2 linked regions of the Arabidopsis thaliana genome follow. The protein of the gene in region 2 interacts with the protein of the main gene of each other region in a pairwise test. Each region holds a gene or a part of one and is shown on either strand. Other genes may lie near its edges.

Region 1 (6,805 bases), on a different chromosome or scaffold from region 2:
CAGAGGCAGAACTCAAGGTAAGTTTAAAATCTTTTCCAAGATTTCTTCAAGATCTTTCCTAAGTTTAGTTTTGCTTATTGTCGTAATGCGACCAACGGTCTGCAGATTGTTTATGATGCTGGGCACTCGGCAAATGAGCCAGGAATATCAGCGGAACTCGTGGTTGCCAATGAAAAGATGAAAGCACTTATGGGATGAAGTATTTGATGGAATGAAAGCTGCTCATTTTGTTCATTTCTTTGGGACCTTTGTTCATATTTTCAAGTTTGTTGCTGCAAAGTAAATATCACATTCAGAGTTAGTTGTTAACGCGAAACCGAATGTTATTTCCATGGACGTTTATACCCAAATGAAAAAGACAATGACATAGGTGCAGTGTTTTGAAACCCGGACTATAAGCACCAATGTAACCAATGAATGGGACTCTAACGAATACCTTAGAACCATGGCCTTTTTGAACCGTTTAAATGCAGAAATCCCCAACAAAAACCAGCGGTAAAAACATATGAGTCAAATAAAAATCCTTTTATCAAGAGGATTGGAGACTATGGGTGTTGAGTAGCATAATGGTGAAACTGGTAAGTGATAAAGGAAAAGATTTACAGAGTGCAAGAGGTGTGTCAAGTAAAGGAGAAGAAACTTGAACCTTACTTTGCAATATATGAATCGAAGAGGAGATATATATATACACAGTATACTAAATCAGAGGGTTTATGCATGTAACAATGCGATGAGGAGATGTAAATTCAGAGAATTGAAGACGGGACAACCTCGTCGTCCCTGGTGTAGCCATGAACCAAAAAATCGGTGCAGTTTCTTCGCAAGCCGTGGTTATAAGGGTTGTAGAATCTTCCGTCAGGTCCCCGCAAATAACTGAATCTCTTCGCGTTCCATAATTCGTTGGTTGTAATATTCCGAGCTATCTGCACCAGACAACCAACAATAACTGTTATACAATCATTTGCAGAGGGGAGGGAGAACCAAATTTTTACTTTAGCTGAGACTTCCTTACCATATAAGACTGTGAGATTGTCAATGTCATAGTCGCAATGAAAATGAGTAAGTCGAAAAACAGAAACACGGCAGCATCAGGGTGTTCAATGACTATATGTTTAATCCATGATTCTCCGTGGTGTACCTGTGGGATACCTCTCCATAATCCTGTAGCAAAAACAGATGCTTACTAATAGTCAAATCTAATGGCAGGATTGCGAGAGAGAGTTGTTCCAGTCACATACTTTGAACAGCAGTTGTGCCACCAACGAATGATGTTAAAGCTCCCATGATCACAAAGACTAAGAAGTAGCGTTTATTCTTCTGTGAAATGAGTAAGTGTATCAAGATACCGTTAACCAAAACAATATGCATAACAGGGTGTTTCATGTCATTACTATATCCTTGCCACTTTAATTAGCAGAGCAACAAGTGAAAGAGATTCTTACCTTACCAACACAGTTGGAAATCCAGGGGCAGTGATGGTCAAACTGTTCAACGCAGCGCTTACAAGTGGGGCAGTGCTTAGATCGCACCGGTCTAATTATCTGAAGAAAAAATGATAATTGTAGTTAGAAAACAAAGAAAATATCGAGGTAATCCCCTGAAATAAGGATTGAGGAAAACCTTGCAAGTGGGGCAGAGTTGGGACCAGTTTCCTTTCCATGAGGGGTTTTTGAAATTGATATCAATCAAAGGGTCCTGCAAACATCAGAAGATAATATGTGAATCAAACCTTTCAGAACAAACCTTACGACTGTTCAATTGATCTAAAGTCGGTGTCTACTTAAATCAGGCATAGTTCAGCATGATCAAGACGAAAAGCTTAAACAATTAACAACTGCGCATTGATTTCGTATATATATGCATGAACCCAATTTAGACGGATTGCCAATCTGCTAGACGAATGTTCACATTTCTCTCATCATGGAAACATGGGAAGAAAGTTCAACTTACGTTGGCAGTGTGTTGGCTGTTAGCTTCACCGGTTCTTTTAACGTACCCGGGATCTTTCCTATAAAAAAAAAAGAGACGAATTAATCACTCCAAGACCATTACACCACATACACCTCTCTCAGAGTCACTACAAAGTAGTTACAGCCTCACATCTCAACCTCCTCATTTCTTATGAAGAAGTAAGATTAGTTCTCGCTGACTCATTAAGTAAGTACATCAAACTAATATGCACAAAAACTTCAGATAAATTGAAGATGACTAATAAGGATACCTGCTAACACGATAGAAAGTTATCAGTGCGTAAACACCACATGAAAGACCGAAACATGCCCACAGACCAACCATAGCAGTTATCTTTGGGAGATTAGAAGCTACACATGAATGCAAAATGTCAGGACGAAATAATATAAATCCATTAGTAAGAACCTCAACACACACACACTATTTTGTTGTATGCGTTATTCACCTGAAACAATGGATGTGATGAAGAGGACCATAAGAATGACTATTAAGCTGAACAACATAGGAGCATAGCTAGTCTCTCCCAGTTTTCCACAGAAGATCTTGTCCACAAAACTATTCTTACGAGTTCGCATTGCCTTCGACTGAAAAATATTAAAATCGGATTCTCAGAAAGCACATCATATCAAATGATTAAAATTTTAAGAAAAACTAAAAAAAACCGGGGCAAACAACATTGAACATACTCTACAACCATTAAACAAGGCATACCTCATCCTGTGAACTCTAAACCCTACAGTAACCCTAAAACAGACCGCTATCATATTGTCGCTCTTACATCTACACCCTAAAACTGAAACAGACCGTAGAAACAAGTTCTCTACCAGAATGATGCTTAACTATATCTGAAAATCAGAGCCAGTTCATCTAAGGATACTGAGAAAAAATTCTGGGTTAGAGCTGCATAAGAAAAAGCAAATATCACAAAGCTGCCGTCTTTTCTGCGTTTAAGGCTTATCTAGTAACTGTAAACTTATAACCATATTTACATCAAACTTTCATATATTCAATGCTATTGTTTTTTCATATGTTTGTCTGTTTGTAAATTGTAAATACAAATTTACAGAACTTTGAAAGGGTATTTTGCATGAAACATTTTTTAAATAGCCTTATTAACCTATTCCTGTCCATTTAATGATGATGAAAATGAAATATGAAGGAGACTTTGATTTTAAGGAGCGAGCCAGCAAGCAAATGTCGGATCCACAAATCAAATTTGAAGAAGCTAATTGTGAATAATCAAGATATGTTCCTCTTTACGGATGTTAGAAGGGTAGCAAGCAACACTAAACATTACGTACAAGGAAAAGAGCGAGCTGCCTGTGACCTTTATCAGAAGCAAGCTTAAGTGGCGTGGATCCAGTGTTATCTTTCAATATCAGTTCCTCCTTGGTTCCAGCATGAACTAGCAGCGTACAAGCCTCAACGTTTTCCTTAATCACAGCCCAGTGCAAAGGCGTGCAGCCTGGCAAGCAAAGTGATTAATGTAAGAATTTCTAAGAAAATAGTGCAAAATATATATCAGGGTATCAGCATTCTACACTTTTCGCAAGTCATTAACAGTCTGGAATGCTATAACAATCCCTCCATAAACAAACACTCAAAAATCAGAGTTCATAATCTCTTATCCGTTTTTGCACTTATCTTTACGCATCATAAGGTACAGAAAAAATTCCGATGTAAGCCATTCTTTATTAATTATAGAGCAGACAAGTAAATACAGTTAAAAGAAAGTTTTAAGAGTTTCTGATTTGCCTGTGTTATCTTGTCTATTTTGACATGCGTCCCGAAAGAGAAGTAACCGGACTGTTTCTGTGAATCCATTGTAAGCAGCCCTGAGTCATACAAACATGAAAAATATAGAGTTCACAGTAGTTCTCCACAAATTGTCAAATGATAAGTAACAGAGATACTATGTACAACTAAAGAATACACACTCTAAGCATCCATTAATATCTCTAGTATCCATACCAGTGTAGCGGACTCCTCCCTTCAATATCTAGTGCGTTATAGTCAGCTGCATAGTCCACAATAATATGATTCACGAATGCTGTTTGTCCATATTGAGAAGCAACATGAACTGCCTGCACAACAAAACATGTCGTAGATCGACAAAATCTTACAAGAATCTGAAGCCTATGATCACAGCAGCAACAAGCCTGATGCAAAACTTATAACTCCTGATCCATTTCACACACCTTTAGCAAACAAAAACACAAAAATTACAACAGAAAGAAGATATTACCCTGAAGCCATTGACATCAACAGCTTCAATACGAGCTCCATGTTGAAGTAAAAGGTCAGCAACATCAATGGAGCCTTTAACAGCTGCCCAATGCAATGGTGTCTGTTGTATATTATCAGCTGAATTAACATCACCACCATGCTGCAGATAGTTCAAATCCAAATCAATCACTACACCGGAGAACTATCACAGTATTATCGAGAAATTGGTACCTGGATGATATATTGAGCAACGTGGAGGGAATTGTTGAGTGCCGCCCATTGAAGAGCGTAGAAGCCATTATCGTCGGGAAGTGAGACGGAAGAGCCATTATGTTCGACGAAATGTTTAAGTTGGTGGAGATCGCCGTAAGCGGAGGCGGAGAAGACGTCGGTGATGGTTGGTGATTCGGTAGGGCTTTGGTGAGAGTTGGAATCTAGAGGCACTACTTCGATCTCTGATGAGTCCATTGTTGCTCAACGATCTGAATTGAAATTGAAGTTTGAGGACTTAAGAAAGAGGTGAATGAAATGGGTCGGATCCAGAGTGGGTATTATCTCGGATCTCGGATCTTGGATCTTGTTAAAGTCTACTCTTTCATACTTTGACTAACGCTGATTATTCATTTGTCATTCCATTCCTCACTTAATTGGAAACTAGTTTGTTCGTTTCGTCGCAGCGGCAGCGGCAGCAACAAACACTACCGTAGATTATTGTTTGTTTTGTTACCGTAGTCGTTGACGTAGTCTTTGTGTATGTTTTTAATACGTTGACGGCGAGTGCCGGTTAGAGCAGTTGTAACGGCAAGTCTTTATGGGTTTTTTTTGTGTGGCAGACTCTTCCAGAGGCCCAAAATTAAATGAAAAATACCAAAATAGATAAGGACGCTCTTTATGAAAGGGATTTTTTGATATTTAAGGGACCCATACGTGGCTAAATGTTATTGGCCTATGAAGTTTATCGACAAACATAATTTTTGAGCAGACTTAAAGAAGCTGCTGTTTGGTGAAGTGGTGTTTGTCTGACTTTGTCACCTTCGTTTGACTTGGCTATAGAAGTCTGATTTGAGCATTGAAAGATTTTCTGGAATCTTGGAAATGAGATCTTTCTAAGGATATAAATATATTCCTCTGATTCATTGTGGTTTGATAGGAATTTGCTCTCAAAGTTGGTTTTTCGCACAATGTATTATTCTTGGTCTGTGTTGCGATTTTGGCAAAACGGGTTACCAAACGAGTTTGGAATGAGATGAAATGAGAGTGTGAAGCTATATTCAGGTAAGAGGGCATTGGATTCGGTGACCAGAAACATAGTAGAGTGAAGATGTTTCAGAAAAGTTCATTCAAAATTTTTTTTTGATGAATTTTGTCGATAAAAAGTAAATTCGAGATCAAATTTTAAAATTTTGGTAAAATAAAGCTTATTTTTGCAATAACAAATAGATAAACTTACAAATTGAGACTAAATATTAAAAATTTAGAAACATAAGATCTGATTTTGCAATAACAATTTTTTTTGGAAACATAATTTTGTTATTTAAAAACTTAAACATTTTGGAGGTCCAATACCCATGTATCTTGGGTTTGTGCCAAGGGCAGGCTTGGCTGACGCTGACGTTGTCGCTGCTGTAAATTTTTGTGTTCATTTTTTTGTAGATTAGTAAATATACAAAAAAAATAATAATACGTAAATCAACAACATATAAAACACATAAGTAAGTATACAAATGCCTTCATTCATGTGTAAACTATGATATTTATTAAATTCGGTTTAAATTTATTAGATCATAAATTTAAATAATTACAATTTAAAATAAGGATAATTTGCTATTTGATGAATATCTAACAGAAATAACATCTATGGTAGTTATTATCAGTCGTCTTTTAACATATGCTTCTGTGAATAAGTTCCCGTTTATCAATTATTCTATTAAAAAATCATTATTTAAGAGTTACAAAATTTAAAAAACTATTTTATCTCATCAATTATTATTATACTCTCTCTTTTTTTCTTCCAAGTATCAAAACTCATATCTCATATACCTTGATGGACACGCCCAAGATGGCTACAAACGCTTATTTCCCTATAATCAACATGAGCTCACTAATTATTATCTATTATATTCTTTTAGATTTTGATGTTTGTTTTCCATTCTAGTCTTTGATTACTTAATAGTGAATCTGTTTTTCAACTCTATATATTGGGTTTGGATGTTGCCTTCACATGCTCTCTATTTTCCTCATCTATTGGTGTTTTTGTTGCTTGGTTGCCTTAATAAAGTAGCTAATGAAAGGAGTCTTAACCATTCCTAAAGCTACATTTAATCATTATGCAGATACATGAATCATGATAATAAGAAACAGGATCACTACAATCCTAAGACAAAAGGACCGGCGCTATGATGCTAGCTTCCAATGCTGGCTCCCAATGCTGGCTCCAAAGTCGGCTTTTAATCCTCTAAGTTTTCATTACAATGTTAATCTCAGCTTTCATTTTACCTCTGATATAACTTACGTTGCACTTGCTGTAAAAACGTTAATTTTCTTTTGAATCTAATTTAACATTACATTAAAAAAATAAAAAATCATGATCCGGATATTTGTCTTTTGA
Region 2 (4,577 bases):
GACACCATCGCCACCATGCTTTAATAACTAATAAAGAGATATTTATCAATATTTCATGGTATACAATAAAATCGCATAAATTCTTGCAATTATGTTCTATATATTTCATGCTATTCAACAAAATCACATGAAATCTTGTAATTATGTTTTATATAATTTCATGAGATTCAACAAAATTGCGTGAATTTTTATAATAATGTCCAGATTTCTCAATATACCATGTTATTCGATAAAATTGAGTGAAATTTTTCACAACAATGTTCATATTTGGCAATATATCATGCTATTCACCATAATCACATTCATTTTTGCAATAATGCCTCCTCAACCGCCGTACAACTTCTCTGCTGCCTATTGTTCTCTAATTCTGATAAAACGTAAAAAGGGTTATTTGGTCAATGTCCCTCTTCTAAAAAGTGGGTCCATGGTTAGTTTCTAATAGAAAAGAAGTCCAACGTTATTTTCTTAATTATTTTATAGTCAAAGGTTATTCATTAATATTACCCTACTATCTTTTGTGAAAAAGAGTTCTCTCACGAGATTCATAACTTAGAAAAATATGAACTAAGACACTTGAAAGAACAAATACAATAATCTTCAGTTTGGCTAAGAGCCTTTAGAATGAAAGGTGTTTTGCATCGAGAGTGACACTGGGAGCATAGCTGTCGTGTAGTATCTTTGGTAGGAACCACTTCAAATGTGTATATTATAGTCTCGAATATGGATCCTGCGATGAAGCGTGAGAAATCCCCAAAAACACAGTCAATATGGAATGTGACCACACAATCATCGCATGTGTAGAACCACTTACTTGGATCCATTTCCGTCTCGCAAATATCACAACAATATTTACCACTTGCCTTTTCACCATAACATAGGGAGAGAGGATGTCTATCGTATTTGTGCTTAAGTGTCTTTGGCAAATTTGCACAACAAAAATCCAAACTAAAGTCACAAACATCACAACCAAGCATGTTATAAGACAGCTTATGACATGAATCACACTTGGTACTGGCTTCTTCTTTGTAATATAAGGGATGTACATGGCCATCATGGACGAACGGTTCGGAAACGGAACTGCAATGTACATCAAGCATTAAATCATCAGAGATGTACCTGAAACCAGTCGATTGTTTTCCACAAGCGTCACATGAGAACCAATCTATTTGGAGATCTTTTCCTCTAGCATGTAGGGTAAATGGTCTGTTGTATATTAAGTGGCGTCTCTTCATAGGCAGATGTGCACATTTTTCATGAAGGAAAAAAGTACATTGATCGCAACAATATATCGAACCAGAGTTGCGAGGAAAGATGCATGCTTCACATCGGCTACTTTCATCATAAATAATGTCTTCATTGGTAAGCCTTAGATTATGTTTCTCGTGGCTGAAATGATTTATCAGGTTATCACCAACCACCTTAAACGGAAGATCTTCAGCTTCTTCTGGTATCCCTTCAAGTTCTATCCCATCCCAAACGTTGTAACTTGTTGCACATTGCGAATGAACAACATATTTGGGGCAAATGAAGCCCCATGAAACTGATTCACTGGTCGACGACAAACTCCGCAATCCGAATACCCTGGGCCAATATGGTTAGTGAGAGTTATGCGATGAACATGCCGATTAATGATTATGACATGCGGTAAGCCAATACAACTTCGATGGACCATAACATCACATTGAAGACATAAATAAGAGACTTGGCCGTCTTCATGCATCCCACAAACATTACAAGTAAATGAGATTCGTCTCGATAAGAGGGTAAGATGATGCTCATGGGTATTGGAATGCTCAATAACAAGAGGTGGAGGGCTTCTCACACAGTTTAGGCACATGCTGAAGTCACATATTAAGCAGTAATACATCACAATTTCCGATCTCACTCCACACAAAACACATGCTTTTTCGGCATCATCAGGGAGGGATTTAGATATGGTGAGCTCAAGAGGGTGATTAGGGTGAAAAGGAAGGTTTACTTTTTTCTCATGATATATACACTCCAAATGAGCATACTGATCCCGAGAAGGTAGTGAATAATAATATTTACCAGCAACAACTGAGTGCCCACATACTCCACAACAATTGTATATTCCACTTATCTTTGGAAAGACAAATGGTAGGTCTTGAAAATCATGAGTAGGTGGCGGTGGTGGTTTCCGCGCACATGATGTGTCGACGTTGAAGTCACATATGGAACAATGATAAAAATACGGCACATCAGCTAAGTGATGAATGCCGCATATATCACATTCATATCTTGGAGGCCTCTCTGTAAGCCGGAGAGGATGTTCCGGGTGAGAAGGGTGGTTGATTTCAAGTGGTGACTCGGCGCATTCCTTGTGAAACAGAACACGATTGCAGTCAGAATCATTACATCGATAGCCTCCATAGTATTCACCTTGGTTTCGAAAACTGCAGCCTTCACACCGATCATGAAATCGAAAGGAAAGGGACAAAGGATGTATGTGAATAGGTAGTTTTATCGATAATATAGCCATGGCTCCTTAGGCGAAGCTTTTGATGTCTTGTTTTTGTGTTGTTTTTCTTGTCTTTTTTTTTGGTTTATGAATTGTTGTGATCTCTATCGAAGTGCGTATATGAAGTTCTTGAAAATATATTTTACAACCAGTTGTTGAAGTGGCTTCATCATCTACTCAGCACACCATACAACTAAAATTTCTTTAAGATATCAATAGTTAAATCTTATCGCGTGATGATTATTGCTAGTTGTTATTTTTAATGCCTAAATTATTATTGCTTATTAGTCACAAAGTGGCATTATGTGGTTTATATATATATAGTAATCAAATAGATACCATTCCATTCAATTAGCAACAAAAAGAGAACTACTTCACCTATTAAAATGGTAGTTGAATTATTGGTTTAACGATTTTCGGACAACAAAGTATTGATTGTTTAAGACCAACTAGGAATTATTTGAGTCATTATATATTAAGTTTGGTCAAAATATTAGGCCAGTCTTATAATAATATCATTAATTAAAGCGTTTGAGAATTTTAAAGTCAAGTCTCAACCCATTGATAGTAGCCGGAGACGAGACGAGGCCATTGAATATTCACACTTCATTTGAGTACAATAATTAATGTGAATGTGTCGGAGGTTTTGAGATGTAACAGTGCAAGTTCATTAAATTTTTTTTAAGATTTGACATGTAATTAATCATGTAATGTATTTGTGTTTAAAAGCATACTTAAGCTAATAGCTTCACTACTACCACAAAACAACTTATATCATCACTGAGTACAAGGAACAAAACTTTTCGAGGTTGTTGCTGATATGTCCTAAAACATTGCATTTACTAATGGCCAATCGTAGGAAACAGTAAGGAAAGAGCTGTGCTTACAATTTTCTTACGAAATTTGTTTGAAGAAAAGCAAAAATGGTTAAAACTTTCGTGAGACTTTTCCTACAAAACAAATTGGTAAAGAATTTCGTAGGAAACTGTGGTATAAGTGAAAAAAAAAATTTGATCGATTTCCTACCAACTATTTTAATAACAATATTTAATAATTAATGTGCTAACATAATTGTGAGACCTTAAATATTAATGTGATTCGTTTTAGCTTTACCAAAAAAACATATTTCATATGATAATGATACTCATATTTAAATTTGACACACCAAACACTAATCTCATAGGAGAATAACAATGACTATTCCGATCAAAATCTGTCTCCAAAGAGTGCGAGAATCCAAATAGCGTAAAACGTGTTCAAGATCTCTCGAGCCAGCCCTGCAACGAACTCAATCAAGGCACTCATTCTTCGACTCACTTTCTTTGATTTACTATGGTTAAAACTCCATCCCATATAGCGAGTCACATTTTACAAACTCACTGAGTCATCATCTTACTACTCCTTCTCCTATATCCTCCCAAAGCTCAAGCAATCTCTTTCTCTCGTCCTCACACACTTTCTCCTACTCTCCGGTCACCTTAAAAGTTAAAAGGAAGCCACAAGATCCTAAACCATAGTGACAATTTTAATACTAATAAACTAGGTTTTAACCCGCGGTTTACCGCGGGCAATCGGTTTATTTGGTTCTTATACTAAATATATGAATAAATTTGATATCTTAAACTTATAAATATAAATTTCTAATGATTAGTGAAGAATTGTAATATATGATTTGGATATTATTGATTATTGACTTCATGATTGAATATAGTGTTTTTAGGGATGGATTGTGATCATATTTTGATTTCAAAAACGATATAGATTTCTTATTTTTGTTGAACGGTTTAGATTGAAGGGAATTAATTTTATTGAACGGTTTAAATTGAATCGGATCATATAAAGTTTAGGAGATTGTTAAGACCAAATTACCCTTAATGATTTTGAATAGCAAAGAACAAAATCCAAAATTGAAATCAAAATTGAGGCCAAATTAGACAAAATTTCAATTTGTACTTCCCTTTTAATAATAAAGGGATTATTAATTTTAAGTACACACTTTGTTGGTAATTTATTTAAATTTTCTAGGCACAAATTTTTGTTAAACAAATAACTAAAAAATAATATTATGTTTATCATCATTGGTCTTACTTCTAAACCT

The links. Proteins that work in one complex are often made in the same cells at the same time.
Region 1: the proteins of AT3G45840 (region 2) and AT2G14255 interact in a protein complementation assay, tested with the Arabidopsis thaliana proteins (one large-scale study listed by BioGRID).

The regions. Positions count from the first base shown.
Region 1 is NC_003071.7:6,034,834-6,041,638, reverse strand, and holds AT2G14255 (Ankyrin repeat family protein with DHHC zinc finger domain-containing protein), read right to left. Parts: upstream 4,836-6,805; 5' UTR 4,666-4,835; coding exon 4,429-4,665; intron 4,358-4,428; coding exon 4,217-4,357; intron 4,056-4,216; coding exon 3,943-4,055; intron 3,807-3,942; coding exon 3,727-3,806; intron 3,437-3,726; coding exon 3,273-3,436; intron 2,556-3,272; coding exon 2,417-2,555; intron 2,322-2,416; coding exon 2,222-2,321; intron 2,009-2,221; coding exon 1,951-2,008; intron 1,696-1,950; coding exon 1,621-1,695; intron 1,542-1,620; coding exon 1,443-1,541; intron 1,318-1,442; coding exon 1,239-1,317; intron 1,162-1,238; coding exon 1,013-1,161; intron 924-1,012; coding exon 747-923; 3' UTR 542-746; downstream 1-541. Other genes in the region: PIP (proline iminopeptidase), read left to right, coding at 1-17, 106-198. UniProt on the Arabidopsis thaliana protein: Palmitoyl acyltransferase.
Region 2 is NC_003074.8:16,847,388-16,851,964, forward strand, and holds AT3G45840 (Cysteine/Histidine-rich C1 domain family protein), read right to left. Parts: upstream 2,558-4,577; 5' UTR 2,501-2,557; coding exon 1,802-2,500; intron 1,711-1,801; coding exon 1,640-1,710; intron 1,549-1,639; coding exon 543-1,548; 3' UTR 517-542; downstream 1-516.